4 linked regions of the Lepisosteus oculatus genome follow. The protein of the gene in region 2 interacts with the protein of the main gene of each other region in a biochemical or structural test. Links are inferred from orthologs where the notes say so. Each region holds a gene or a part of one and is shown on either strand. Other genes may lie near its edges. The genes, in order: dusp1, mitogen-activated protein kinase 1-like, dusp3a and ptprr.

Region 1 (7,365 bases), on a different chromosome or scaffold from region 2:
AATATCACTTACAATATTATTTGAAAAAAGTATTATTTTATTTTTTCTTATGTCTTGTGATTCACTGTGAAGCAATATGTTCTTGACTCCATTGTAAATGTTACACACATTTTGTATGACTCACATTTGAGAATTTGAGCCCCGTTATGCAATTTTCGAAATGTCTTATTTACATACTCTGAAGGTTTTATCCCACTTTGAAAAAATAAAATACACATATGTATTGGAATGTTCCAGACTCTTAGAAAGTTTTGGAATGTTAAAGAGAGTTCTGCTGATGATGTCATGTGATATTTCAGAAAACATTACATTATCTCAGCCAAATGTGATATTACTAAGAAATGAACTACTTCAGAACATAAATTCATATACTTTTAAAGCAGGATTTTTTTTAAGTCTTTCATCATTTCTTAGTTTTAAGCTTTACAAACCCAAAGAGTAATAAGTACTAATTAGACAAAAATACACAACAGACTGAAGTCCCTGCTGTAGTGTTTTTCGACAACGTCATAAATGCCCACCGAAGGTAATTAAATAGCAATGATAGAAAAAAAAAACATTCACTAAAATTCCCCCAAATGATAATAACGTTTATAAGGGATATCAAGCATATTTAAAGAACAAGTACAGGTTTATTCCATGCTGAAAAAGAGAAGAAAGAAAACACAACGTTTCAGCTGTGGAGCCTTCTTCGGGTGTGACGCAGCTACCCGAACTTCTTCGAGCATATACTGTATATATTTATATTGATTCGGACACACATCGAGCATATACTGTATATATTTATATTGATTCGGACACACATCGAGCATATACTGTATATATTTATATTGATTCGGTCACACATACAGAGCCCGTAAAACACAGCAGTTCCGCCCCGTTCTCTTATAGTCTGTATCTATTGTTGTTAATTGCTGTTGTGATCAGAATCGATTCGGCCCTTTTTTTTTAAGAAAGTAAAATCTTAGATACTCCCGGTCACCCCCAAAACGAAACCAGGAACCCGCAGGGCGGCCCATGCAGATACACGGCGGGCGAGCGCTATCAGCGCTTTGCCCCTCCCCGCACGCGACGGCCCGGCGCGAGATGCCTTCGCTTTGAACGTGATTCACTCCTGCAGAGCCTGACAGTAACTACAGACCGCAGATCCCCCCCAGCACAACGCGATACTGTGCGCATATGACTCACGAATGCTTTTGGAAACCATTACTTGCCTTTCTCCGTCTTTGCTTTTGTTTTTGTTTGTTTTTCTGTTTCTTTCTGCTCTGTGCTTGTGTGACAGCAATGAACCCATCTTTCCGAAGGAGCGGTCAAATGCCGGAGTTACTCAGGGCAAAGGAATACAGGGCTGAAGCGCCGAGCTTCTCTCGTTTGGCATGAACAGCCCCGGGTGACTTGTTTAAATGATTTAATTATGATATAGGCTCCAATTCTGAGCTAAATAAAGGCGAACATTAATGTTATTTACGTTGTCTGACGGGGTATACGACCTTCAATACCTTGACTGCGCTTTAAATACTGTGTTCTTCACTGCACATTTTCATACAGGTGTGTATTGTAAGCATAAGTATTGTAAGGCTTGAACCCAGGCATGTCATTCCAGATCACGCTCGAATAAAAAGAAAGTGTAAATCTGTCTCATATTCTGATAGCATAATATATTATGCTAAAAAAAACAATTTCTATATTGTCTTGTTTATTGTAAAGGCCAGTGGTCGAAGGCAGACTTTGTTGGAATATTTATTCAAATATTAATAGTTCTGTAATATCAATTTTCTTGGTAACCCCTATGGTGTGTCACTTTAGTCACAGGTTTTTTATGCAATGTTTTCATTACACCAGAAAAAAACGTCAGCCACACGCCCTGTTCAAACATCCTCCACGCCCAGGTTTAACTGAGGCCAAATGATAAACTGACAGTCTAGTTTTTCAGCTCCCAAAACAAGCAAGTATGTAGCTTGTGAAAGGACAGAATGGAGAGACCGGTGTTTCTTCAGGTGTGCGGCCAATCCCCCACCTCTGCAAAGTTGTGTTTCTTCTTTCATTTTGCATTTCAGGCTGGAAGAAAGACCTTTACTTGATCCCTGGCACACTTACACAGTCCCTAACTAAAACCTCTATATCTCAGGGAGACTCGTTAGAGCTAAACAGAATGATCTTCATCTTATACTGTACATGAATCACCTTTTAAGGTCTAAATAACATTGAAATTCCTTGCAACAACTCAAAATTAGGATTTTTGTGGTAGCACGAGATTACAGAGCTCTGTACTCTTAAGGCGGCCTGTTTAATTTCAATACCTTTATTATTTCCATGTTGCAGTTTTCATGCATTCCACCTGAACCTTAGAACAGTACTGTTCTCTCTTTCACGCCCATGCTGTAAACAGGAAATTGAATGATCGTTCTTTCAGCTGGGACAAAAACAAGGCAATAAGTCCTTGTACATAAGGTGTTTGTCTGAGTCACCTGCAGAACAACCGGTATTGCACGTGACTGTACCACAACACTCACATCAGCACGAAGGCTGTGACTCATAACTACCAGCGAAACACTACTGAGAGGAGTAAACCTCAACACAGCAAGGGCTACTCCAGTGTTGCGATCCATGTCTGATGACGAGACAGCACGTTCTACACACAGTGGGAGCACGTAAAAGTACATGAAAAGTTGCCCAGCCCTGCCATTGAAGCCAGTAAATGTCATGAAATGACTTGGTGACGTTCTCGCATCAGTGAGCTACTAGTTGCCATACAGACTGGGTGGTCTGAAAGGAGTCCGCCAGATTGTCCCTCATGTCCTCGATTTATTTAACAACAAAACGGTCGTCTTTGTCAGGCTATTCTGTACCTCTTTGGTATAAGAACTGACAAGGGAAAAGGCCTGTCCTGTGGTGAGACATTAAGGACTCGAGACACACAAGAAGACCTCAACAAGGGGGGTCTGTGCTGTGGTCTTAATTCCACACCACGACTGTACCTTATTGTACCTGCTCGTTCGAGTTTTTCCATTTTATTAAGCCCTCTGTGGCTTACATCACTCCAAGTCTCCGCTAATGGTCACAGCATGTCAAAGGGAAGGTGACAATGAAAGAAGTTGGATCCTGAACTCGGCCACAGTATATGAACCCTCCACACAGCAAGTGTTGATAGCTTCATGGAAATTTACCAGACCCTAGGTTTTTATATAGTGATTAACTTTTATGGTTTACCTTAGCACCCAGCATTAGCCCCGATGCAGTACTTAAGGAGAACATAAAATTTTATGGGCGGCGTGGCAGATATTCGTTTATTGTCTTGTTATTTGTCAGAGCTCCTTTGAGGGGTAAAAAATAAAACGAAAACAAACAATAACATCATGGAATTTTTTCAGCCTTCACAGAAGATCACTGGGATTCCTGACACGTCCCCATGAACAGGCAGCAGAGCCCTCGGATTAAAACGCAGTTGAAAGATTTCTCATTTCTGGGGTAACAAAGCTTCACCCGATTGTTCAGAAACACGGCTATCTCTGTTATTTATCCGTAAGCCTAAAAAGTAAGTCCTGAAAGAAAATCCACTTAGGAAAGAAGATGCGGTACTAACACAGCATACTTACCTGAACGTGTGCCTCGTTTTACTATCTTACTAACGGTACTTTTACAAATGATGTGTTTTAACCTGTTTCTTATTTGATATTCTGTTCCACCAAGGCCGGGAGAACAGACTACCTATTTTAAAACGTAAGAGGAAGTTTAAAAAGCGAATCGTCACGTAATTCTCGGGGGTTTATTCTTCTACAGAAATCACTTTCAGGTCAAACGTCGGGGGGCTGTATTTTGGAATCGAGTGGTCGGCAGCAGACATTACAGATCTAGAAATGCTCTTTTATCTTTCCATATACAGATGATATCTTTGAAGTGTTTCAAATAATTGATGAGTCAGGTGCGCCGTCCCGATCAAACATCAGAAATATTTGATCACCACTTTTCGTATATCATAGGATTGTATTGCACGCTGTGACATCACTGTAGTTTTTGGTGAATAACCTTTAGTGACCAGAATAGGACTTCTCCTCCTTAAATAGTAACACAGCGGTAAACTCACGAAAACTCTCGGGACAAAACCATTCCTCGGCCGTAACACCGTGCTGCCCTGCTTCTTACAAACTTGGCTTTGCTCCAGGTCTCAGATCGCAATCTCGGGTTTGTTTGGCTTTGCAGGAACTTTGGCTGCCCGGGTTTAGCCCTGCTCGTGGAATGACGTCGCCCAAGTTTACGCTGGGCACGCTGCCAAGGGGAGGCGGAGCCTCTACGTCATCGCATTCTCATTCACAAAAAGAGCGCCGGCTCCCCATATAAAAACCACACTGCCGAGGGTTAGGCAGAAGCAAGCGTACATCAGCGGCTGGGAAGTCTTAGGCAGGACGGACGCCAGCACAACAGCAAAAGAAAAACAAAGGGACTGATTGTAAAGAACAAGCGGATTCTTATCGATACCGGCTTTTGGGTTGTTTGTTTGTTTGTTTTGGGGGGCAACCCGCGTGTTCTTTTTCGAACCGAGAGAGTGCTCCGTCAAAGAACAGAAAGAGTAACCAACTGAAGATACTCATCGTAATAAAATAAAAAAAGGCAACAACCGTATTCGTCCCGCGCTCGATTCATTTTCGTATCGGGGAAGGAAGGGGGTGAAGAACGGACTCGCCGTCTGTTTCCTTTATGCGTCTAGATTTGCCGTTCTCAACGTGTCGCCCCACTACTATGGTCATAATGGAAGTCCCCAGCCTCGACTGCGCCGCCTTCCGAAACCTGCTGGACGCCGGCGCGCTGGTCCTCGACTGCCGCTCCTTCTTCTCCTTCAACTCCTCTCACATCCCCGGCTCTACCAACGTGCGCTTCAGCACCATCGTGCGCCGGCGGGCCCGGGGCGGGCTGGGGCTGGAGCACATCGTGCCCAACGAGGAGGCCCGGTGCCGGCTGCTGTCCGGCCAGTGCCGCGCGGTGGTGTTCCTGGACGAGCGCAGCGCGGACTTCGAGCAGGTCAAGAAGGACAGCACGCTCATGCTGGCCGTCGCCGCCCTGCGCCGCGACCCCTGCGGGGCCAGCGTGTTCCTGCTCAGAGGTGCGTCTGAACCCCGGCTCCTGACACGTTTGCCGAGCCCGAGAAAGAGGTTCCTCGGTGGTCTTTTTTGCTCTGTTAGCACGCCGTTAGCGTGGCGTGGTGCCCGAGTCGCGCAACGCTTTTTTTCCCCTCTCTCTCTCTCTCCCCTGGACTACAAGCCTAAGCGACCTGTTTTGTCATTGTAAATTGTTTCCCCGGTCTCCACTTTGGGGGGGAGTGAAGGAGACCGGGCTGCTCAGGTTTCTGCCCGCCAAGTGGCCCGTCTGTACAGCGGCGGTTCCGGGTGCCGGAGCCGCGTCGCCTTTTGTGTCCAGATTTTAAAAGGCGCCGGGGTAGACCAGCGCTGAAGTGCGGCGCTAGGCGTTCATAATAACCTTCCGGTTTCCCCTTTCATGCTTTAGGTGGCTTCGAGGCGTTTGCCTCCGAGTTTCCCGAGCTGTGCACGAAGCCCGCCGCCCCGCAGGGCTTGTGTTTGCCGCTGAGCTCCAGCTGCCCGCCCGGGAGCGCGGAGTCCGGCTGCAGTTCCTGTGGGACACCGCTGTACGACCAGGTAAGCTCCTGCACATTGTAAGAGCAGAGTTAGAGCCTTAAGCTGCTCGGCTCTTTAAAATGCACCACAGTCTCTGTTTCGCACTCACTTCCCCCTTTTTAGCGTCTGACAGTGACACGGCAAAAATAACGCTTTTGATACTCTAAAAACACTGTCGACGGCAGAAATTCCCCTTTGCAGCGGCAGATTCGGGGGAAAAATAACCATTCATAAGGGTATTTTCGTTCGCTAAATGTTTTTTTTTCCCGCCCCAAGACAGACCATTAATTGTGTTCTGTAGGGATTGTGACGGTTATCTTAAACCTTGTTGTGGGTCGATTTAACCGTGACCTCTAGTAACGTATTACTCACGTCTTACTTAGAAGCCTTCCTGTGAAAATAGCATAAGCTAAAAGGGTTGTTTTTTCCCCCCCAGACTTGATAAGACCAGCGCTGCTGCTGCATTAGTGACCAAATGTGTGTGTTGTCCCTCTCCATTCAGGGTGGTCCAGTTGAGATCCTGCCCTTCCTCTATCTGGGCAGTGCCTACCACGCCTCCAGGAAGGACATGCTGGACACTCTGGGCATCACGGCCCTCATCAACGTGTCCGCCAACTGCCCGAACCACTTTGAGGGTCACTATCAGTACAAGAGCATCCCGGTGGAGGACAACCACAAGGCTGACATCAGCTCCTGGTTCAACGAGGCCATCGAGTTCATCGGTGAGCACGTTCTTTCCAGCGCTTTCTAAATACACGACACTTTTCGTGACAATCTCCTGGCGTAGGCTTGAGTTTCTTCTTGTGTCCCAGAGAAGGAAGCTTTCTTCCCGTGTTGGCAAACCCATCTATACTACTGTACTACTCCTGGCTGTGGACTTGTGTGCTTTCTGATTTCTGCTTCTTCAGCTTTGTCTGGAAACGGTTCTAAAAATGCCACTTACATTTGGCATGCTCAGTATTGTCCCTCTATTGTCAGTAGATTTCATTTCTACTACCAAAAAAACGTTCAGGGTCCAAAATTCTAGTATTGATATGAAACTATACTTACTCAAATACTGAAATACTTACTCGCGTGCAGAATGTGGCTACGAGTACACTCCAGAAATCAAAAACAGACTCTTAATGGAAGGCCTTTCTCTTCAGCTCTGCGAGACCTGATTCAAATTCAAAAGGGGTTTCCCTCCAATTTTTCGACAGCTGGTCAGCCGAGCTCCCTGGCAGGCAGGCTGATGTCATCCCCCACCCCCCTTGCCCCATTCAGATTCAAGAGGGGCACCCCCCACTCCCTAAACCACACAGGCACACCCCCTCTTGTGTTAACCACAAGGCCACGACCTGGGCTGCTTTTGAGCAGAGTGGCTGGTCTGTTCCTGTCGTGCCTCCAGTCTCCAGCAGAACAAAGGCCGCGGAACAAAAGGTGGTTTCTCCCTCGCTCTCTGCTGGCCTTCCTCCCGGACTGATGCTCACAGCAGGAGGGGGGGGGGGGGTGCTTTCTTAATGTGTACCCCCACCCCCCACTCCCACCCTTCAGCCAGGGCAGGCCTTTGTCAGTCTTCCCCTCCATTTGTTTGCGCTCTTTATAGCCCCTCTTCCTGTTTCAGAATGAGGCAGTGTCCCTCTATTAGTCGGGTCATTAACAGCTTTATTGCCAGCGCAGAGCAACATAGCGAGACGGAATCGGATGCCGTCGCAGCGGTTTTCAGCCCCCTGCTCCTGCCGCGTTGTTTGGAAGCCCT
Region 2 (7,239 bases):
GAGCTCCAGTCCCAGTACAGTAGACCAGTCCTGTTACAATAGGAGCTCCAGTCCCAGTACAGTACAACAGTCTGTTACAATAGGAGCTACAGTCCCAGTACAGTAGACCAGTCTGTTACAATAGGAGCTACAGTCCCAGTCCAGTAGAACAGTCTGTTACAATAGGAGCTACAGTCCCAGTACAGTAGACCAGTCTGTTACAATAGGAGCTACAGTCCCAGTACAGGAGACCAGTCTGTTACAATAGGAGCTACAGTCCCAGTACAGTAGACCAGTCCTGTTACAATAGGAGCCACAGTCCCAGTACAGTAGAACAGTCTGTTACAATAGGAGCTACAGTCCCAGTACAGTACAACAGTCTGTTACAATAGGAGCTACAGTCCCAGTACAGTAGACCAGTACTGTTACAATAGGAGCTCCAGTACCAGTACAGCACAACAGTCTGTTACAATAGGAGCTACAGTCCCAGTACAGTAGACCAGTCTGTTACAATAGGAGCTACAGTCCCAGTACAGTACAACAGTCTGTTACAATAGGGGCTACAGTCCCAGTACAGTAGACCAGTACTATTACAATAGGAGCTACAGTCCCAGTACAGTAGAACAGTCTGTTACAATAGGAGCTACAGTCCCAGTACAGTACAACAGTCTGTTACAATAGGAGCTACAGTCCCAGTACAGTAGACCAGTCTGTTACAATAGGAGCTACAGTCCCAGTACAGTACAACAGTCTGTTACAATAGGAGCTACAGTCCCAGTACAGTACAACAGTCTGTTACAATAGGAGCTACAGTCCCAGTACAGTAGACCAGTCTGTTACAATAGGAGCTACAGTCCCAGTACAGTACAACAGTCTGTTACAATAGGAGCTACAGTCCCAGTACAGTACAACAGTCTGTTACAATAGGAGCTACAGTCCCAGTACAGTAGACCAGTCCTGTTACAATAGGAGCTACAGTCCCAGTACAGTAGACCAGTCTGTTACAATAGGAGCTACAGTCCCAGTACAGTACAACAGTCTGTTACAATAGGAGCTACAGTCCCAGTACAGTAGACCAGTCTGTTACAATAGGAGCTACAGTCCCAGTACAGTAGAACAGTCTGCACACACTCACACACACACATGCTGACACACACACACTGACACACTGAAACACACACTGATGCACTCTCACACTAACACACACACACTGACAAACTGACACACTCACACACGCACACACTCACATGCTGACACACATTCACACACTCACACGCTGACACACACACACACTCACACGCTGACACACACACACTCACACTCACACGCTGACACACACTCAGACTCACACACACACACGCACGCACACACACTCACACTCACACGCACGCACGCACACACTCACACGCTGACACACACTCGAACTCAGCCTGGAGTTGAACTCTGCTCTCTGGAGAGGGTGCTCTGCCTGCTGTGTCCAGACCTGTGCTGTCCAGCCCGGTACTGTGTGCGTGGCGGTCCGGTCCGGTCCGGTCAGGGTCCCGCAGGTGTGCTGCGGAGCAGGAGAGAGAACCGCTGACTCACTGGGGTTTACTGCCAGGCGGTTCACAGAGTTCACAGAGTTCAGAGTTATCTCCTCTCTCCTCTCTCTCTCCCCCCTCTCTCTCTCCTCTCTCTCTCTCCCCTGTCTCTCCCCTCTCTCTCCCCTCTCTCTCCCCTCTCTCTCTCCTCTCTCCCCTCTCTCCTCCCTCTCTCTCCTCTCTCTCCCCTCCCTCTCCTGTGTCTAAAACTTGTCACCTCTCTGTCTAACTTTCTCTCTCACTGTCTCTCTGACTCTCAGTCTTTCTCTGTCTCTGTCCTCCTGTCTCTGTCTCTCAGTCTGTCTCTCTCTTCCCTCCCTCTGTCTCTCTGTCCCTCTGTCTCTCAGTCTGTCTCTCTGTCTCTCTGCTCTCAGTCTGTCTCTCTGTCTCTCTGTCCCTCTGTCTCTCAGTCTGTCTCACCCTCTCTCTGCTCTCAGTCTGTCTCTCTGTCTCTCTGTCCCTCTGTCTCTCAGTCTGTCTCACCCTCTCTCTGTCTCTCTGCTCTCAGTCTGTCTCTCTGTCTCTCTGCTCTCAGTCTGTCTCACCCTCTCTCTGTCCCTCTGTCTCTCAGTCTGTCTCACCCTCTCTCTGTCTCTCTGCTCTCAGTCTGTCTCTCTGTCTCTCTGCTCTCAGTCTGTCTCACCCTCTCTCTGCTCTCTGTTCTCTACAACTTGTTCCCTCTCTCTGGTCCCCTGACTGCACTCCCCTCCCTCCCTCTTTCCTGCATTCCTGCTCCCCTCCCAGCTGCTGTTTCCTGATCTCTCCCTCCCCTCTCTCCCCTCTCTCTTCTCTTTTGTTCCCTTACAGTCTCACAGTGCAGAGTTACTGTATTAACCCCTCTCTCTCTCTCAATTCAATTCAAGGTGCTTTATTAGCATGACCGATGGGTACAATCAGTGTTGCCAAAGCAAATAAAAATAATAAAATTAACATGGAACAAAACAAAAAATAGAAGACAGGTTACAGACATTTACAACAAAGACATATTATAAAATATTGACATATACTGTAGGCGGCTGGAGCATTATTGGGAGACAGACTCACTGTTCCTCAGGCTGGGACAGGAGATCACATACTGGGCTGCCAGTTCAACTGAGTTCCCTCCTCCCTCTCCCAGTAGGATTGGGACCCGTTGTGACCCTCTCTCTCTCTCTCAGTGCAGTGTTAATGTACTGGAGTGTCTAGTCAGTGTGTCTGTATGAACCCCTCTCTCTCTCAGTGCAGTGTTAATGTACTGGAGTGTCCAGTCAGTGTGACTGTATGAACCCCTCTCTCTCTCTCAGTGCAGTGTTCATGTACTGGAGTGTCCAGTAGGTGTGTGTGTATTAACCCCTCTCTCTCTCTCAGTGCAGTGTTAATGTACTGGAGTGTCCAGTCAGTGTGTGTGTATGAACCCCTCTCTCTCTCAGTGCAGTGTTAATGTACTGGAGTGTCCAGTCAGTGTGTCTGTATTAACCCCCCTCTCTCTCATTGTGAGTGGCACACCTGGCAGCCCCACTGGAGCCCAGCAGGGGGAGCCTGGCCAGTACCTGGAGGGGAGACTCCTGGGAGAGGGGTGAGTGGGGCCAGCAGGGGGCGCTCTCTCCCTGCGCTCTGTGTGGTCCTGATGCCCCAGTCCAGTGATGGTGAGCTATAAAAGAGTAGGGCTGGACACTGACGGGGACACTGGACTGGAAGAAGGCGCCGTCCTTCAGATGAGACGTGAAACCGGGGTCCTGACTCTCTGTGCTCATGAACAATCCCGGGGTGTCTCTATAAAAGAGTCGGGGTGTTACCCCGGTGTCCCCCTGGTCTTGACCAGTCCTGGCCTCCTAGTAACCCCTAATGACCTCGGACCTGTCCTCCTCGCCCTGAGAGCTGCTGTGTGTGAGCGCACTGGTGGGGCTCCACACTGCTGCTGCTGGAGGGGATCCCCACCACCAGCGGGGCGTCCAGAAAGGCGCTATATAAGTATAAGGCTATTATTAATGACCTCTGACCTGTCCTCCTCGCCCTGAGAGCTGCTGTGTGTGAGCGCACTGGTGGGGCTCCACACTGCTGCTGCTGGAGGGGATCCCCACCACCAGCGGGGCGTCCAGAAAGGCGCTATATAAGTATAAGGCTATTATTAATGACCTCTGACCTGTCCTCATCACTCTGAGAGCTGCTGTGTGGGGAGAATACTGGAACATCACCCAGGTGGGGGTACACACTGGTGGGGGGTGGGGGGGATCCCCATGACCTGTAAAGCGCTCTGCGTGTGTGTGTCCAGAAACGCGCTGCACGAGTGTGAGGAATGTATTCATTCTGATGAAATTCAGAAATGAGCTAGAATCCGCGTGCCCAGCTCTGGCGCCCACGCGTGATTTCGCACGATTAGCACCTTCGTTTCATTTCATGTGCATTTTTTTAAACAACAACAACAACAACAAATCTTTCAATGCCGTGAAATATACAACACAGATTTTTTTTTCAACTATATATATATGTGTGTGTCTGTTTTTGCGGTTTCTGCTCAGACTCCGGACGCCCCGGGCGAGCGGGCGTTCACCGTCCATCTCTGCCTCAACCTGTCGGGACGTGACTCGTGTTTTTTTTTTTTGTTCGGTGTTGTGCTTCTCGAAACGGGGTTCCCAAGCCAGGATGGCAACGAGCCCACGCCCACGCCTCCGCCCACTCCCACTCCCACTCTCACTCCCACGGACACGCAGTCGTGCAGAGCCAGCGAGCGTCGTCGGGGCCGCGCACTGCCTCGGCGGCAGCGCGCATCTCGCCAGGGGGGAGAGGAGGAGGAGGAAGAGGAGGAGGAGAGAGAGAGAAGGAGGCCGGGCGTCCTGTCTCTGCGCTCAGGCCGGCGAGGCCTCGTCTCTCTGCGCGCCTCCCCCTCCGCCAGTGAGAAACGCGCTCGCCCACCCCCGTCCCCGGCTCCCTGTTCTTGTGCGAAACGGGGCTTAATCCGCACTCCGGTCCCTCCTCCTCCTCCTCTCTTAGCTCCTCCCTGTCACAGTGACACAAACTCGCCGTGTAAACACTCGCACCTCGGCCTCGCAACAACACGGAAGTCATGGCGGACGCGACAGCCACCGCAGCGGCGGCCGCAGCCTCGGGCTCGAGTGGCGCCCCAGCCGGGGCCGGGGGCGCCGCCGCGCCGGCCGCCGGCTCCACGGGGGCCGGGGGCTCCAAGCCGGGCCTGGAGTCGGTGAAGGGGCAGAATTTCGACGTGGGGCCCCGCTACACGGACCTGCAGTACATCGGGGAGGGCGCGTACGGGATGGTCTGGTAAGGGCGTCCTTCTCGCTCGCGTTTCTGCAGCCGGAAAGGCGCTGCCATCGCGGTTATGGGGGGGAGTGTGGTGTTGTGCACGGCGGGTGGCGATCAGGGTGTCTTGGGGCAGGTTCCCACGCGTGTTTCGCCTCCGGCTTTGAGCACCGCACCCCACAGCGGGAGAGGGGTGTCTTGCGGGGGTGCGTGTCGGAGCAGACCAGGCGTGGCAGTGCGGGGTACCGGGAGGAAGAGACAGAGACGGACCGACGGAGCGTAGCCTGTAGTGCTACCTGTACCTGTACCTGCCGGGTACTGGTACAGACAACACAGTCACACTGTCAGTGTGTGTGTATTAACCCCTCTCTCTCTCAGTGCAGTGTTAATGTACTGGAGTGTCCAGTCAGTGTGTGTGTATTAACCCCTCTCTCTCTCAGTGCAGTGTTAATGTACTGGAGTGTCCAGTCAGTGTGTCTGTATTAACCCCTCTCTCTCTCAGTGCAGTGTTAATGTACTGGAGTGTCCAGTCAGTGTGTCTGTATTAACCCCTCTCTCTCTCAGTGCAGTGTTAATGTACTGGAGTGTCCAGTCAGTGTGTCTGTATGAACCCCTCTCTCTCTCAGTGCAGTGTTAATGTACTGGGGTGTCCAGTCAGTGTGTGTGTATTAACCCCTCTCTCTCTCTCTCAGTGCAGTGTTAATGTACTGGAGTGTCCAGTCAGTGTGTGTGTATTAACCTCTCTCTCTCAGTGCAGTGTTAATGTACTGGAGTGTCCAGTCAGTGTGTGTGTATTAACCTCTCTCTCTCAGTGCAGTGTTAATGTACTGGAGTGTCCAGTCAGTGTGTCTGTATTAACCCCTCTCTCTCTCAGTGCAGTGTTAATGTACTGGAGTGTCCAGTCAGTGTGTCTGTATAAACCCCTCTCTCTCTCAGTGCAGTGTTAATGTACTGGAGTGTCCAGTCAGTGTGTCTGTATGAACCCCCCTCTCTCTCAGTGCAGTGTAAATGTACTGGAGTGTCCAGTCGGTGTGTGTGTATGAACCCCTCTCTCTCTCTCAGTGCAGTGTTAATGTACTGGAGTGTCCAGTCAGTGTGTGTGTATGAACCCCTCTCTCTCTCTCAGTGCAGTGTTAATGTACTGGAGTGTCCAGTCAGTGTGTGTGTATTAACCCCTCTCTCTCTCTCAGTGCAGTGTTAATGTACTGGAGTGTCCAGTCAGTGTGTGTGTATTAACCCCTCTCTCTCTCAGTGCAGTGTTAATGTACTGGAGTGTCCAGTCAGTGTGAGTGTACTAACCCCTCTCTCTCTCAGTGCAGTGTTAATGTACTGGAGTGTCCAGTCGGTGTGTCTGTATTAACCCCTCTCTCTCTCAGTGCAGTGTTAATGTACTGGAGTGTCCAGTCGGTGTGTGTGTATGAACCCCTCTCTCTCTCTCTGTGTGTTTCTCGCGAGACTGAGTGAGTGAGTGGGCGGAGCTTCGGTGGGTTTGATCGTGTGGCGGTGTTTTCTTCACTGGGTTTGTGTTTTTCTGTCTTTTTTGGGGAAAAGCGGGGTTTATTTTCTCATCATGGCCGGTTCTGGAGGCTCTGATCCTCCAGACCTCTCCTTTGAGAAACTAACTCGCCGCCATGGTGTGAAAATCTCCCCTGCGGAGTTCTGTCCGCTTGAGAGGTGCGTTCTTGCGGTCGGGGAGGTCGTGGGCTGCAGGAACATCAGGTCCGCTTCCCGCATGAGTGGAGGTATAGTCATTTTCTTGCAGTCTACCGATTTGGCAAACACCCTGGTGGAGAAGGGAGTTGTCCTGGACGGCACCTTCACCCCGGTACTGCCTCTCGCGGCCCCGGCTCGAAAGATCACCCTCTCCAACGTGCCTCCGTTCATGAGGAACGAGCTGCTGGAGAGGGAACTGTCCCGATACGGACAGGTGGTCTCTCCGATCAGGAGGGTCCCTCTGGGCTGCAGGGCTCCGCAGCTGAAGCACGTCGTCTCTTTCCGGAGACAGGTCTACGTCATCCTAAAAAACCCCACGGAAGAGATCAATGTGGCCCTTAAATTTCGTATTGACAGCTGCGACTATGTTGTATTCGTGACTTCGGAATCGATGAAGTGCTTCAGGTGCGGGAGCGAGGGGCATGTGGTGAAGAACTGCCCGGAGGTGGAGGAAGAGACAGGCAGGGAGCCTCAGCCCCAGGGCGCACAGGAGGCTAGCCGACAGCGTCAGGCAGCGGGGAGCGGAGCAGCGCAGGGAGGCAGCGGGGAGTCAGAGCCCACGGCCGGGGTGCAGGAGAGGAGATCGCTGGAGGGAGCAGGTGAGCCCGAGCCGGTGGCGTCCCAGTCAGGAGAGCAGATAGTAAAGAGTGGACCACCGCAACCCTCAGAAGAGCAGGGAGCCCCCCACACCGGAGAGCGAGAGATGAGCGCTGCTCAGGAGAGTCAGGGA
Region 3 (7,411 bases), on a different chromosome or scaffold from region 2:
TACAGCTTTATTGTACTTACTGTATTAACTATTTTACTCTGCTTGTGTCAAACCCATGTAGAGATAAGACATTTGTTTTACTCATATTTGGTATAGCCAAATATGGAGAATTAAGTTAGTCTGCAAATACCTTAGCACCTTTCAACACAGCTTAGCATTTCACAATAATGCTCTAGAGCAAAAAAAGGCACAAGCATTAATCAGGCTTGATTATACCGATGATATGGCTACTTATGCAAGAAATGTCATATGACACTGAGCACAGGATGTATGTATAATGTCAAACAGGAAATATGCCTATGGAGCCACTTCCTTTAACCTTTCCTCCTGCTCATTACTCCTACTTTCTTCAATGCCTGCTTCACCTGATCTCTTTCCCCTTCTTTCCTTCCTTCTGCCCCATTTCATCATTTGTCCAGCCCACCAATGACTAATGTCAAATGCAATTATAATATTTTATCAACTTATCAATGCAATGCATTCCTTGAAGACCAGAAAATGTACATTTTTAATATGAACTGTGAGATACTAAACTAAAAGATGTAATCCATGAATGATTTGAGGCTTTAATGTTGACCCACTTTCATCATCTATTGTGGATCAGGAAGTAATAAAACTGTCCAATGTCCAATGTTTAAAGTTCATACTGCAGAATTCTGGATGTAGATTAACAATGTGGAAATGATGCAATACACACTTCATGCAGACTTCATTTTCAATGTCATGTGCAGTTTCCTCCTCCATGATACATGAAAGAGATTACTGTCCTGGATATACAGTAGTACAGAAAGGCCTGACAGAAATGTCATATTCAGACAGATTAAGATAAATGAAACCTTTTAATCTACAAGAGAGAGGATCACAGTGGGGTTTGTTGCAGGTATGCAAAAACCTGAAAGGTGTAGGCAGATTCAGTCCTGTGGGACAGCTTTAAGATTAGCCACATTATGAATCTCAAGAGCTTCAATTTATCATAATAACATCTATTTGTAAAGCTTCTTACCAAACCCAAAGATACTGTACTCACAGGCGGTAATGTATAAGAAATAAAAACAGACAAAATAATAAAAAGTAAATAAAATTAAACACCACCAGGCAGGACAAACTGTAAGATAGTCAGACACAGTAAAAAGGTGAGTTTTAAGTTTAGATTTGAAAAGGGTCAAAGAATTTGCCTCTCTATGGAAGAAGGCTATTCAATAACAAAGGATCAGCAACAGAAAAAGCACAGTCACAAGTAAAGTTCAGTGAGCAATTAAGATTAAAAGTGCTCAAGCTAGAAAACAGGAGACACAACCCTATGTGCAAACACAGGGCATCGGAAAACTAAATGACTGGTCACTGGAGAGCTGGGGCTGAACATATTGATGATCCACGTCAGACAATGAAACGAGAGAACCTGAAACCAATTGTCCACAACTTTGTAAGAGCGCTCTACAGAGAGATGCACGGACAAAAGAAATCAACGTTTATCAAAATAATATTTAACAACAGTTTATCCAAGAACAAAACCTTAGGAATATATTGAAGCTGTAGTACATTTCTCCAGTGAAATAGGATTACAAGGGTCTTTAACGAAAGCCTAATTGAAAATCTGATGCTTGCCCTTTTATTGTGCAAAACAAATGCACTATCACTTTTCACCACCAGAGGCCACTATGAGAACACTGCCACCACTTGTCTATTCGGATTTCATTCATGAGCTCTTTCCATACAACTCAATGATTGCAGCCTGCTGTCCACATGGATATGAAATGGGTGCTTAGAGGATGTTCAGGACTAAGCTGAGAGTTGAGATAGCCATGTTTGATGGACCAAAGAGGTGGTGTCAGAGAGATGGGCAGAGTGTTATCTTCACTGTTTGACCCAGGCAGACCAAGTCATCAAAACTGGATGACCAACACACCAGTGCCATCAACAGTAGACAACTGTGACCAGACAACTTTTGCAAGCTGTTTGCAGCAGCTCAGGAAGAGTGGCAGAACTTCCCACAGCAGTCTACTCTGAGGCTGATTAGGTCCATACATCAAAGCTCAGGGGTGTTCTAACTTTGTCATTATTTTAATTTGACAGTCCGTCACACTACAAACTTGTGAAGATTCTTAAATCCATACTTTTGTTCACCATTTCTGTGATTTTCTTTGATACTGTATGCATGTTTAAACCACTTGACCGACTCCACTGACCTGAGGGCTGCATTTCTTTTAAGCTTCGGTATACTTCTGTTACAGAGGTATAGTGTGGCTACAGAAGGGCATGTGTGCTTTAACACAGACAACATATGCATTCTTATGCCAAAAACAAAATAAAAGCTCTCTCTTCAAGGTAAGAAAAGTACAAGCCTGCAGAAAGATTCTAGGAAAAAGATAGTATATATATGCTGAAATACAAAGTGACATTATGATTTAATAAGTCTAGATCTTGTGCAGTATTTCAAGGACATATTGCCGCTATTTATTTTAAATTGTGCACTGAGTGCAAAATACTGTCCTTCAAGCCAGTGGCAAAGGGCTTTCTGCCTTACACAGAGTACGAGACTGTGTCTCTGATCTTAAATGGGATCTTTAATGAGAAAGTTGTTAGAAGTTTGATTTAATATCACATGACAACGACAGCACCTAATGTAGCATAGTGTTCTCAGTCACCATACCAGAGCATTGGTTTGAAAACCCCGGTCAATACACAAGGACGCCACTTACTCACTGGCCAACACCTACAAACAGGTACCTGGAGGCCTCCCATCCCAGTGCTGATGAGGCCCAGCCTTGCATAGTTTCAGCTCAGTTGTAGCTCAGGCTACAAGACGGTAACACTGTTGCCCTGTGTAGAGATACATTTGTCCCATCTTTCTCTGGGTTTCTCTATTCCTACAAACCCATATTCTCTACGTTAATGTCTAAGCAATGACAGAGTCCAGATCCCATCACAGCTTTATTACATTTAAACTCTTTCTATGGTCTATGGCTTGTGCGATTATCTCCACGCTCATTACATTCCTAAAAAGCAAACAAACAACACCAGGCTGCTGTTGTGTGCCAGCTCTCTGCTGTACACCTTTCCAGAACCTCAGCAAGCACCCCTGGTATGTTACTGGTTATGTTATCGATGTGAATATTTTCAGTCACATTAACTGCTGGTGTTGTTTTGAAGTGAAGAAAAATGGTTACAAGCCATGGTAAAATACAAACAAAAAGATATATAAAAAATAGATATTAGAGTGTAATGCCATGAAAGAAATGAGGCACTTGATGTTCTTAGAACCCTCTAGAGACCTGACAGGCTTGTCCAGCTGCTTTCTCTGACTCTTGACAGGATTGGTACAGATCAAGAGGCTCCATCCTGGCAATGTCAGTAAGGAGCTGTCTCTAGTCTGCTGGCTCGGTTATTTATGAGACAGAATAGGGCCTTTGTTTCAGAACAGCAACGCCTGTTTGACCATCCTGGCTGGGAATGTACAGGGGGGAGGGGGTCTGGGGTTCTCAGTGATGTCAGGGGGGGAAAAAGAAAGAACCTTTGAAAACCAGCTTGTGAAAACCCCAAATGGAAATAAGACTGACAGATTTCAGCACTTGAGCAGCCAACACAACATGCAACAAACTCTGTTATGCATTTACTTACATTAGTAACTGATGGCTTTCTTGAAATAATTCATCTATTGCAACACATCTTTGTCCGTACAGTGACTTCTATGAAATGAGAAATAGATCATAGGACACACAGCCTTTGACTGATGTTGACGTGTACCTTAGACACAAAGATTCACAGTTGAGATGTACAGTAGATCCAATATGGATCACTGATTGGTATAGCCCAGGTCTTTATAACTAGAGGAGGTAGCTTTCATTCAGAGTACAGCAATCCTCACCTCGTGGAAATGATGGAAAGGAATCAGATTTCTTCTTAGTTAGGGATGTTAACCCAGCTGACCTACAGTACCTAAATTGAGCAAAAGTGCTGTCAACGTATTTTTCCCCCTTTAATTCAGTTGGTGAACTAATTCCTCACTTCTCCACCTACTGCACAAGGGTTCCTGACGCAAACGCCATCTGTGCGTCAACCAGGTGGATGCAAAGGGTCCCTCTTCAATGTATACTGTATATGTGGACCGTTTGGGGTTAAGAAACTGTTTAAATGCAAGCTTATTATCATTATTGAGCCCCATCTCCCATGTCCCTCCTCCACCCCTCCCAGCGTGAAATTTAAAGGTAGGCAATACCCAGGAGAGCATGACATTCTGCCGGCCAACCTAGGTTTTCCCTGGTGTGCGCAGAGCTCGGAGACGGCAGGGCTGCGAGTCTTGCTTCAGCTCGGCGGCGCCTTTAACTGCTCCCCTCTCCCTGCCTCCCTCCTCGCCCCGTGCCTGTCGCGTCCTGGTCGCCACCCTGTGCGCGTCGCTCGCTCAATCTCCCCCGCGGAGCGCCTTTCTCTCCGACCCGTTCCTCTCTGGTGTGCAAGCGGACTGAAGACCGGGGTGTGTCGGGCGGGGAGTGACGGAGCGAGCGAGTGCGCCTTGGAAATCCACAGAGCACACAGAAAAGAGAGAAAAAAAGCGATGGTCCAAAATCAGAAACCGACACCGCCCGGGCTCGCACAGTAACCTGACACTTGTTCACCCCTCTAAAATAACTCGCGGGGTATCGCAGGCTTTTCCCACATGAAGAAGAACCAGAGCCCGGCCAAAGTCAACATGTCAGACTACCAGATCTCAGTGCAAGAACTTAACGAGCTGCTGTCAAACGGCAGCGGATTTTACAGCCTGCCTACACAGCACTACAATGAGGTATTTCCCAGGATTTACGTGGGTAACGCGTAAGTTTTCCATTTCTTCCAAACTGGATTCCAGTTATTTGCTATTTGCTCATTGCTCCCTCCGTAACAGAAGCAGCGTTATTTGAGAAAAGGTGTATCCTTCTCCTTAGCAACCCTAAACAAATCTGAGCAGGAGAAGGTGCGGTGCGGAACATAATGTCGTGTTGTTTTCATAACCTTCAGGATGTGCATCTTCCTGTCAAATCAAATGCATCACCTGATCTTAAATTAAAAATCTGATGTTTGTGGCCTACTTATAGTATGCATTCAGATATTCATTTCAAATTAATCCAGAGACTAGAGTCACCCATTAATATCTGAATGTTATGTGTTTTTTAGTCTAGCAGTGTTTATTTGACACACAACCATTTTTATACGTACATCTTCAGTATCTGGTAGCTGATTTGAATGCTAGCATTCGTAGTTAATTATCATCAACTTTAAACTGTTAACAATTATTGTTGTTTTTCGTACAATTGCTACTATTCATTACATCAACAGAACAATAACGCTACAGTAAAATACACAGTCGCTCATCGCTAGGGCTTGGTTAAAACTGTACAGTTGTAAAGGAGGGCTGTGGTATAGAGATAAGGATTTTAATGGAGAAATGGCCACTTCTATTTATTTTCTCTGTCGGTTTAACTGTTTTCAGTGATGTTTTCAGGGTTGGGATTTGAAAATAAGCGACTCGAGCTTGGAACTGAGGGGCGTGCGCTCATTACGTGCTCATTATAGCGTGTCGCCAGTCAAGCTGACCTGTCTCGTGTGCACATTAAGGTCTCGTCGGTGTCTTCATGCACAAAGCACAAAGCAAACGCTCTTAGCTTCTTCGCATACAGCACAGTGCAGACAAGTGCACCTACTGGACATTTTGCACCTGAAAAGAAACGTCAAAATAAATCGCCGGCCCACCTGTTTCATTCTTTGTACTCCGGGACTTGGGTTTGTTCGATGCAACAGAAGCATGAGAAAATATTCGATTTGCGTGAAGGAGTTATTATTCAAAAGTAAAGGATTGACAGGTTAAAAACAAATTAATTTCCAGTCTTTTCGGTGCAAATGGACGACAATTCGGGTGAATTACTCTACTTCAGCTTTTAGAGTTTTTAGAGCCACACCTATGCAAATTCATGTAACGGATTAATAAAGCATGTTTAAACAGTAAATCTGTCAAAATGCAGTGGGAATGAGGGCAGACAGCATTCCTCATCCAGATTACAGATCTCAGCAACACCTGAGAGAGACCAAGGAGAAAAGGATACTTCCCTCTTAGGATCAAAGTGAAATTTCCGAGTTCCCACACAGGCAGTGCATCTTCTTACATAGTATTTAAAGACTGGGCATGCCAGTGACTCACGCTTCTATACTATTCAAATTGTTTCTCTTTCTTTACAATTGCTTGTTCAAAATATCGAAGAGCAAAGTGGATTGTCCCCTCTGTGTGCATCAGTCTGGGAGTTCCAGTAGCATTATATTAGTCCGTTAAATGTTATTCACAATTACAGTACCACAGCTGTGCCAAACCCAAGGGGCACAGTTCTTTGCAAAGGTATTAGCCTCCTTTCGATGGTGTCCCTTTTGTTAAACTGCAAATGATGGAGACACATTTGAAAGTGAGTGTTTTGGAGCAACAAAATACAAAAAACAAAACACTTTTTATGGGTGAAAGAAGCTAACCATCGGCACAATTTGCAAAGAAGAACTGGAATCTAAAATATGTTGCTTGCATGAGTATTTACACCTTTTCTCAATATTTGGCAGAAACTCCTTTAGTCACTGAATATAGCTTATTATTTTTGAATTAGTTTAAATGCATTCTCATTTGTCTGTCTTGTTTTTGGTTTAAACATATGCCCCTGGCTGTTATATTTAACCAGATCATGTTCCAAGCTTTGGCTAAAAGGTAAAAAGATGATTGCTTCGGAAGCAGTACAGGCAACTGGAGCTTGATTCTTAGTCAAACCTACAGTACTCAACCCTTGCGTATTACAATAGGTTAGAATGGAATATGTGCAGAAAGAGAACCTTACTTTAGGATGAAATTAATGAAAAGCCATAAATGTGCAGCAACCCACACAGTTAGAAAAGCACAGCTAAGGCAACGTTAAAAATGTATTTGGATTGTGATTTTTAAAAATCTTAACTATTCAGCATGCTGAACTGTACAGTATATGCCAAGCAGTTGCAAGTCATAGAAAATTATCCGTATAAAACTGTACTGATATATTAGAAAACATACTTGTGCTTCCAAAATGATACATAAGCTAAAAAATGAACAGCAAAAAAAACATTCTAGCATTGGCTCTAAATATAACTTGAGTTGAACATTTTTCATATCAGCAAAACCTAGATTGTACAGAGACGACATCCACCCCCACCACATGAGTCACTCAGCAAGTGTTTCTAGTTATAAATTTTCATCCCTGGGATCCAGTTTTTTATTCACTACAACGTAGTATTGTCTCACAGGGCAAAAAGATTGCCTTCCTGTTCCCAGTCCTTTAAAAAGGTAGTGTGGCATTGCTTGTACTGTACTTCTCTCTTTTAATGCTTGTCATGAAGTGCAGTCGGTGTTCTTCCACTATGTTGGGTTAAACTG
Region 4 (6,919 bases), on a different chromosome or scaffold from region 2:
CTTACATTTTATTTTTCTGTTTGTTCTGATTCTGGGGTACATACTGGTCTATTCCCTCAAGCTATCATGATCATCTCTCTTCTAGTATTAAATTGAATTCTCTCTCTGCTACATTGCAACATTATGAAAATGGTCTTGGTCTTGAAAAATGATACTCGTCATGCAACAGATGCACCTCTGCTTCTTCCCATTAGGGGTCACTCTAACACTCTCAATTGTAATAGGTATATGGTGCAATCATAAATTTGAAGAAACGGGGTGAAGGGTGGGGAATATGGATGATACCCCTTCTTTCTTTTTCACGTTAATAACGGACACTAATACAGTAGCAGCTGAATTTTTATAACAGCAAATGCTATTATAAACATCAATGAAAAGAGCAATGTGAAAACAAGGCCATAATCCTTTTCATTGGCACATAAAAAATAATGCAATGAAACCTTTTAGTTTCTGCATTAATTCTCACTTGCCTCTATGCCCAAGAGGCACAAAAGAAATCTCAGACCTGCTTTTCCCCAGACCTCCCGAACCCGCCAAAGGATTCATTAGAGTGTAGAAAACATCAGAACAGTTATAAACGAGAAGAGGCCATTCAACTAATTTGCAGTGGGTATAGAAAGTCAACACCCCCTTTCAAAATATGTACCTTTTGTTGTATGACACTCTGAAAATAAAAACAAACTAAATTAGGCTTGTTCCATCTTTATTTACGCACAGTAACCCACATTAGCCAAGTGAAAATAACATTCTAAAACATTCTGAAAATGAATTAATTTTACAACAGTAAAACACCTTGTTTGGATAAGTGAACACCCCCCTTACAATTGCATTTGTAAACCTTCTCAGGTATAACCAATAACCTTACAGATCACACAACAAACTAATTGGCTCCCTGTGGTCAATTGTCGTGATTTTGATTAGTTCAGGACAAAAGTAGTGTTTTCTAGAGGATTCCACTGCTTGGAAGTGCATTTCAAAGCAAAGAAGCCACTATTGGCGGAAAGGTGCTTTCAGAAAAAACTTTGAGATAAAGCTGTGGAAAGGAGTCAGGAGATGGGTATAAAATGGTTTCAAAGGCTTTATGTATCCCATGGAGCACAGTCAAGACCATCATTAAGAAGTGGAACAAATTTCCACAAATCTGGCTTGTATGGGAGGGTGCCAAGAAAAAAGCCACATCAAGTCTTGTTTATGTTTTGCTAAAAAGCACCTTAAAGACCTAAAAGCACCTCAATTTTTTTGGCCAGTATGCAAAAGGTATGTCTGGTGAAAACCCAATACATCTTACCATCCAAAGAACACCATTCCTACAGTAAAGCACGGTGGTGGCAGCATCCTGCTGTGGGGGTGTTTCTCTTCAGGTGGGACTGGAGCACTTGTCAGGATAGAAGGGAAGATGAATGATTCAAAATTCAGGCAAATTCTTGAAGCAAACCTGCAGCCCTCAGCCAGGAAGTGGAAAATGGGAAGATGGTTCACCTTTCAGAATTACAACATTTAGAGGTTATTTTAACGTTAATGATTTTCAAGATCATAATATACTTGCAGCCTATGGGAACTCTTAGTTCATTAGATAGTAAAGCTTTATTAATTTGACTCTAGACATAATATTCAGCTTGGATATTATGAATATTAGTGTGATTAATTCTAATACGACAAGATTCTGATACAGCCCACGCCTGGCTCTGAGTGCAACGTTAACAAGGGAAATAATACAGGATGCAGGATGTCAAGCAGATGACAGAACAGCAAGAATGATCATGATTTTTTTCCACCCTTTGGTCTAGCAGTTGTGAGACAGCCGTGGTTCATGCGTTTTGAGTGATAGCAAAAAGAATGAGGGTCATATTTGATTGCTCAATGAGACGGACTAGTTCTTGCTTAAATAATACCACATTTAGTTAAGAGCGGCTGCTTCCCATTTTCCCCTGTCCAAGTTAGAGAACTGTAAGCATAGCCACTGCTATGATATTACATCCAAATACTGAGATATACTGTACTGTAACTAAAGGTTTTCTGTACCTTTAGCAATGAAAGACAAAGGTAGAATTGTGAAGAAAATACATTTAATACTTAAATACATAAGATTCCTTCCTGTATAAAACTGACAGTAGAACACTATTACCAGTTTACAAATCATCACCAAACTTCTCATTAATGAAATACAGACTGCATATATTCTCACATTTGCACTTTTAATTGAACAGATTAAACAGGTGCCACTTTTAATAGCTCTTTTATTAATTCACCATTAATGCTCATAACACACTGTCAAATCCTTTCAGACAATTCAGATTTCATACATTGTTCGTTACCAGTGGTTCTGCCACCAGATCTGAACATTGAGTAGATGGTGCTGGTCTTCAATATTGGGAATGAAGTGGTCTTAACCCCATGAGAGTTCTAGCTAACAGCCATTCTGATCTGACATTTGCTGAGTCTAACCCTGGAGATACAGTAGATCTATAAATTAAATTGGCAATTAGATTCCATGGTAACGCAGGACAAGGTGGAATGGCGGTGCAGTGGTCAGCGTTGCTGTCTCACAGCGCTGGGGCCGTGGGTTCAAGTCCAGACCTGGGATGCTGTCTGTGTGAAGTTGGTACTGTATGTTTGTGTGGGTTTCCTCCTGCAGTCCAAAAACCTACTGGTAGGTCAGTTGAGTTCTGGGAAAATGTCACTAGGTGTGAGTGTGTAGGTGTTGGTCTGTCTCCCATGTGATGGACTGGGTTTACCCTGCCTCCAAGCCAGGATAGACTCTGGATCTCCTGGGACCCATAATAGGAAGAAGAGATTAGAAAATGGATGGATGGACACAGGACAAATGCATACACGACAAATGAACATCATTCAATGCTGACGTAATATTCAGATGGAATTCAATGTGGATGTACAGTAATATTCAGACTTGGGTAAGAATTTGCCCTCTATGAATATTAATGATTTCTTAAAGTAAGCTACTTATGGCATGGTTGAAAGAGATATTACCCTGAATTCCCAAAGTGCAAATTGAAAGACAACATGAAAACCAAAACAAAATGTACTGTATCTCCTCTGCTATAAAAATAAATGAATGTCAAGCTTCAGAGTCCAAATGCAAAAAAAGGTCTTCCTAGAATTCTGAGGCAGTGCATCATTATCAATTTATGAATTCTATTGTAATTAATCCACAGGAAGGCTGAATTATTAACAAAAAAACATTTTCACCTAATACCACCATTTCATTCTTTTCAATAACGGTCTTGCCATTAATGACATGGTTATCAGGACCATCGCATAAATATTGATTATTGACCATAAGCCAGCCTTGGTTCACTGTGATCCAGCTGATTAAAATACAGTATACTAATACCATGCCTAAACCATTAGAGTAACTTTAGCAACAACTTTACCCATTACCAGCAATATTAAAATGTCATTCATTATTTAGTATTGTTTCATTATTTAATATGAAACCCATTAATATCCATCTGTATAATGAAACTGAATATTTGGACTGGATATATACATCTATATACATGTCTTATAGGTGTATATACAATAAATTATACAGTACTTTATACCGTATCCACGGCTAATAATTTATTAAGCATCCATTTTCAAAAACCGCCTAATCCTTAGAGGGTTATTGAAAGAGCAAACCAGTCTCCACCAGGAGGCTCAAGGTGTAAGGCAATATGATTATTTTTTCAAATTCAATATAGCGATAGCTTTCACATAAAATGCCGTTTAGTACCGAGCATATAATTAAACATGCTACCAAAAATTAACAAACATATCCAGTTGTCTGCATTTTACTTAATCGATTAGTTTAAGATGAGTTTTAGTTCTTAATAAAAATATTTGTCTTAAGAAATCTGAGCCAATATTTTTATTTCTTTGCCCTTTAAGAGAAACTACTATTAGTAATAGGTCAGTGAAATCTCACGATGTTGGTACACGTAAATTGCATTCCTGAAAACGAGACAACACGAACAGATCACACGTTTGCACTCTCGAGCCCCAAGAAGGCTGAATTTGGTGGAATCTTGGAATGGGTGTCATCGGAAGACTACCCATATTAATTATGCATCAGCTCTCCACCGCTACTCTCGCAAAGTAACTGCGCCAGCTCAGCTACGGTAAATTGAGATGACTGATGTAAAGCAGAATCGCCATTGCAAAATATTGTTGCGCTAGGATCACCGGAAAATTCTTTAGAGAGTACCTACTGTAGGACTACAATCGTACCATTCCGTATTATTGTAATTGGGAAAAGTAAACCATTCTGAAAGCTGTTTTTAATGTGAACGTTTGACGACTCAACGGCTCAGAAATATGCAAGGAAGAAGCGAGTTCCAGATTGTTGTTTACGCGCTATTTCTACTAAAGACTGTTGGTAAGTATTAAAAATTAAGAACGCGCGAAGGTGTAAAACATTTAATCGTGTTTCCGCGAGCTCGCATATGGCATTTATTTCGGATATACAGTAGGTGGTGTGTACAACCTTATTGATTGGTATCTCATCTCCGACCACAATTTTAAACTGGTTGTTTTACCAAATGCAAAAAAAACAGTGATTTAAAGCAGGTGTTACTTGATAGAAAAACATTTGCATTAATAATAGTAAAGTTTCAATTCATGCGCTGAAATACCTGCAGATTGTTGTCGCATTTTGAGGGTATACAGAATTCGCGGAGGCGGTGAATTTGATCTTTTGCATTTTAGGAACTGGTTTACGAAATTGAAGTTTTGTGTGAAACTGTGTTCGTGTATCTGTTTATTGCGAATCAATCGACCTGTCTGCATTCATTTATTTTAATTTTAATTGGCTTTAACGGTTTAGTATATGGTTTGTAATTTCGAGACGAAATGAAGGATATCCCGCCCAGTGTTAAAGCCACATCAGGAAGAAGCCACAGTTTGCGTATTTTGATTAATAGTAATGGTGATTGCAGTTGCCAATCAAATCCTTATTTCCAATCCGGTTCAAGTCCGTGGCTGTTGAGCATTTCAGAACCAAGGCCAGCGACCGTCTGTACACAGCACTGTCGCCGGGGAGAAAACGTGCTTAGCAGCTTCCTCAGAAGGAGAAAGGTTTCCAATTCAGTCATTTCAGTAGAAGTACCGTGTTTGTAGGTCTGGCAACCAATCAGTAAATCAATAAAACATGCACTTATTACCTAGGTACAATGTATATTATCGAAAGCAGGATTAAATACTAGGGTACATTATCGATATCGAAGAATAAACACCTCGTTAGACTAGATTGCTGTGTATTTAATGTAATTCATGCCCCGTTTCTGTTATCAACATGGACTAATTCTAGTCCGTCCTTAAAATGTATGAGGATATACTGTACCTTCTGTTAACAAACCCAGCTTTTAATAAACAAAATGCAACATTTTCCTTTTTTGTACAGCATTCAATCGTTAAAATATTTAAACAAATAGTAGGAGCTAAATCAGGTTAAACCACTATGATAATTAAAATAACAGAAATTGGTGACATTGGAAACATCTACATTGAGCCTCTTTATAATAGTGTATAATAGTATAATATTGTTCACAAATGGTACACAGTTGTAATATTATATCCCTATGTAAAATAATCCTCACAAACAGGATTTCTAATATCATAGTATATTAATATTTAGGTCACAGTTTTATTTCAGTTGGCATACATGTTTGGTTATGATCTTCTCCTAAATCCGACCATTTATGAGAGTAAGCAAATTGGAAAATTAGAGGGAATGTACAGTAGCATTGTGCATAAAACATACCCAACAGTTTGAGTTTAAAATAAGTCCTTGATGTCTGGAAACTAGTTATTATAGATTAATATGGATTAATCTATAATGGGTTAATGATTAGAGTGGATTAGAAAACTCTCTAGGCTAGAACCATATAAAGGTAGCATGTATGTAGCTATGAGTATTAGCTCAAAACATTTAAAATACTTAATGGAAAAATAATTTGTGGACATGATTGTTAAATGCAGTTATGTAAAATGTGGAATGTTTCAAATTAAATGTGTAAAATACCCTCAGAAAGTATCCTTGTATACTGTTTTTTCACTTGTATTTTTCACTTGTTATTTCTTTGAATAGGAGGGAAGGATGACTAAAACAGTAAATGTTGTAATATTGAAATGCCACATTTTTAAAAATAGTTCTGTGTCCAAATGCTTACAGTTTATTGCTTCCTATCTGTACATTTTCTATCTGAACGTATCTGTACGTTTTTGCAGGATTGATCATCAATATAACTACAGTTGCCTGAAAATAATTTATTATCTCGGTTCAAGTTCTCATCTGAGTCTGCATTCTCTGCATTATGACTGGGCTTTGCATATGATGCAGCTCACAGAGCCATAATACACAGAGGTATTGTGACTCTTAAGAAAGCCTTTTCATTGCTGCATCATTGAAAGCTCAAATCCTCTTTTTTAGCTGCCTGACCAAACAAACTACTAAGCAAACTTTGCTTAGATTGTTACCAAGACACAAACATGCCTGTTTTGACAATTGTGTATTCTGTTGTTTGATTGTCAGCAACAGAAAAAAAAAAGTTTTGTTTTCAGAGTCTGACCTCCCTCCCATGGGTGTCAGGCAAGAGGTCATGTGGACTTGCTGTTATTTCCATGCAAGATGCTGAATGTAGAATACAAATGTGTGCCTTTGGAAAGCGCTTCTTGTCTTTTGTTTTGTTGCTTCACTGTGGTTCTTTAATAGAGTAGGTGCATTTAATCTGTACTGCATAATTTGCAAAAGGTAAGGCAGCTATTGTGTTCCCTGACTAGCTCTGTTAGTAGAGCATGAGACAGAATCTCAGGGTAGTGGGTTCGTGTCCCGCGTCGGGCGCAAGGTTCTCTAATAACCCATACTGGGCAGCAGCAGTATGGGGGGTGGCGGTGTTGGTGGTATCTGTGTGGAAGAAAT

The links.
Region 1: of the proteins of mitogen-activated protein kinase 1-like (region 2) and dusp1, one has a biochemical effect on the other in vitro, tested with the Homo sapiens proteins (2 studies listed by BioGRID and IntAct). The link is inferred for Lepisosteus oculatus from reciprocal best matches to the Homo sapiens genes MAPK3 and DUSP1.
Region 3: of the proteins of mitogen-activated protein kinase 1-like (region 2) and dusp3a, one has a biochemical effect on the other in vitro, tested with the Homo sapiens proteins (2 studies listed by BioGRID and IntAct). The link is inferred for Lepisosteus oculatus from reciprocal best matches to the Homo sapiens genes MAPK3 and DUSP3.
Region 4: the proteins of mitogen-activated protein kinase 1-like (region 2) and ptprr form a complex in vitro, tested with the Homo sapiens proteins (2 studies listed by BioGRID). The link is inferred for Lepisosteus oculatus from reciprocal best matches to the Homo sapiens genes MAPK3 and PTPRR.

What each region holds. Positions count from the first base shown.
Region 1 is NC_090706.1:38,261,678-38,269,042, forward strand, and holds the start of dusp1 (dual specificity protein phosphatase 1), read left to right. Parts: upstream 1-4,345; 5' UTR 4,346-4,695; coding exon 4,696-5,098; intron 5,099-5,499; coding exon 5,500-5,648; intron 5,649-6,129; coding exon 6,130-6,349; intron 6,350-7,365. UniProt on the Homo sapiens protein: Dual specificity phosphatase that dephosphorylates MAP kinase MAPK1/ERK2 on both 'Thr-183' and 'Tyr-185', regulating its activity during the meiotic cell cycle.
Region 2 is NC_090699.1:2,582,331-2,589,569, forward strand, and holds the start of mitogen-activated protein kinase 1-like, read left to right. Parts: upstream 1-4,237; 5' UTR 4,238-4,602; coding exon 4,603-4,817; intron 4,818-7,239.
Region 3 is NC_090723.1:3,225,505-3,232,915, forward strand, and holds the start of dusp3a (dual specificity protein phosphatase 3), read left to right. Parts: upstream 1-4,398; 5' UTR 4,399-4,654; coding exon 4,655-4,809; intron 4,810-7,411. Other genes in the region: killer cell lectin-like receptor subfamily B member 1B allele A, read right to left, coding at 4,217-4,233. UniProt on the Homo sapiens protein: Shows activity both for tyrosine-protein phosphate and serine-protein phosphate, but displays a strong preference toward phosphotyrosines. Specifically dephosphorylates and inactivates ERK1 and ERK2.
Region 4 is NC_090702.1:22,913,709-22,920,627, forward strand, and holds the start of ptprr (receptor-type tyrosine-protein phosphatase R), read left to right. Parts: upstream 1-3,897; 5' UTR 3,898-4,317; coding exon 4,318-4,378; intron 4,379-6,919. UniProt on the Homo sapiens protein: Sequesters mitogen-activated protein kinases (MAPKs) such as MAPK1, MAPK3 and MAPK14 in the cytoplasm in an inactive form.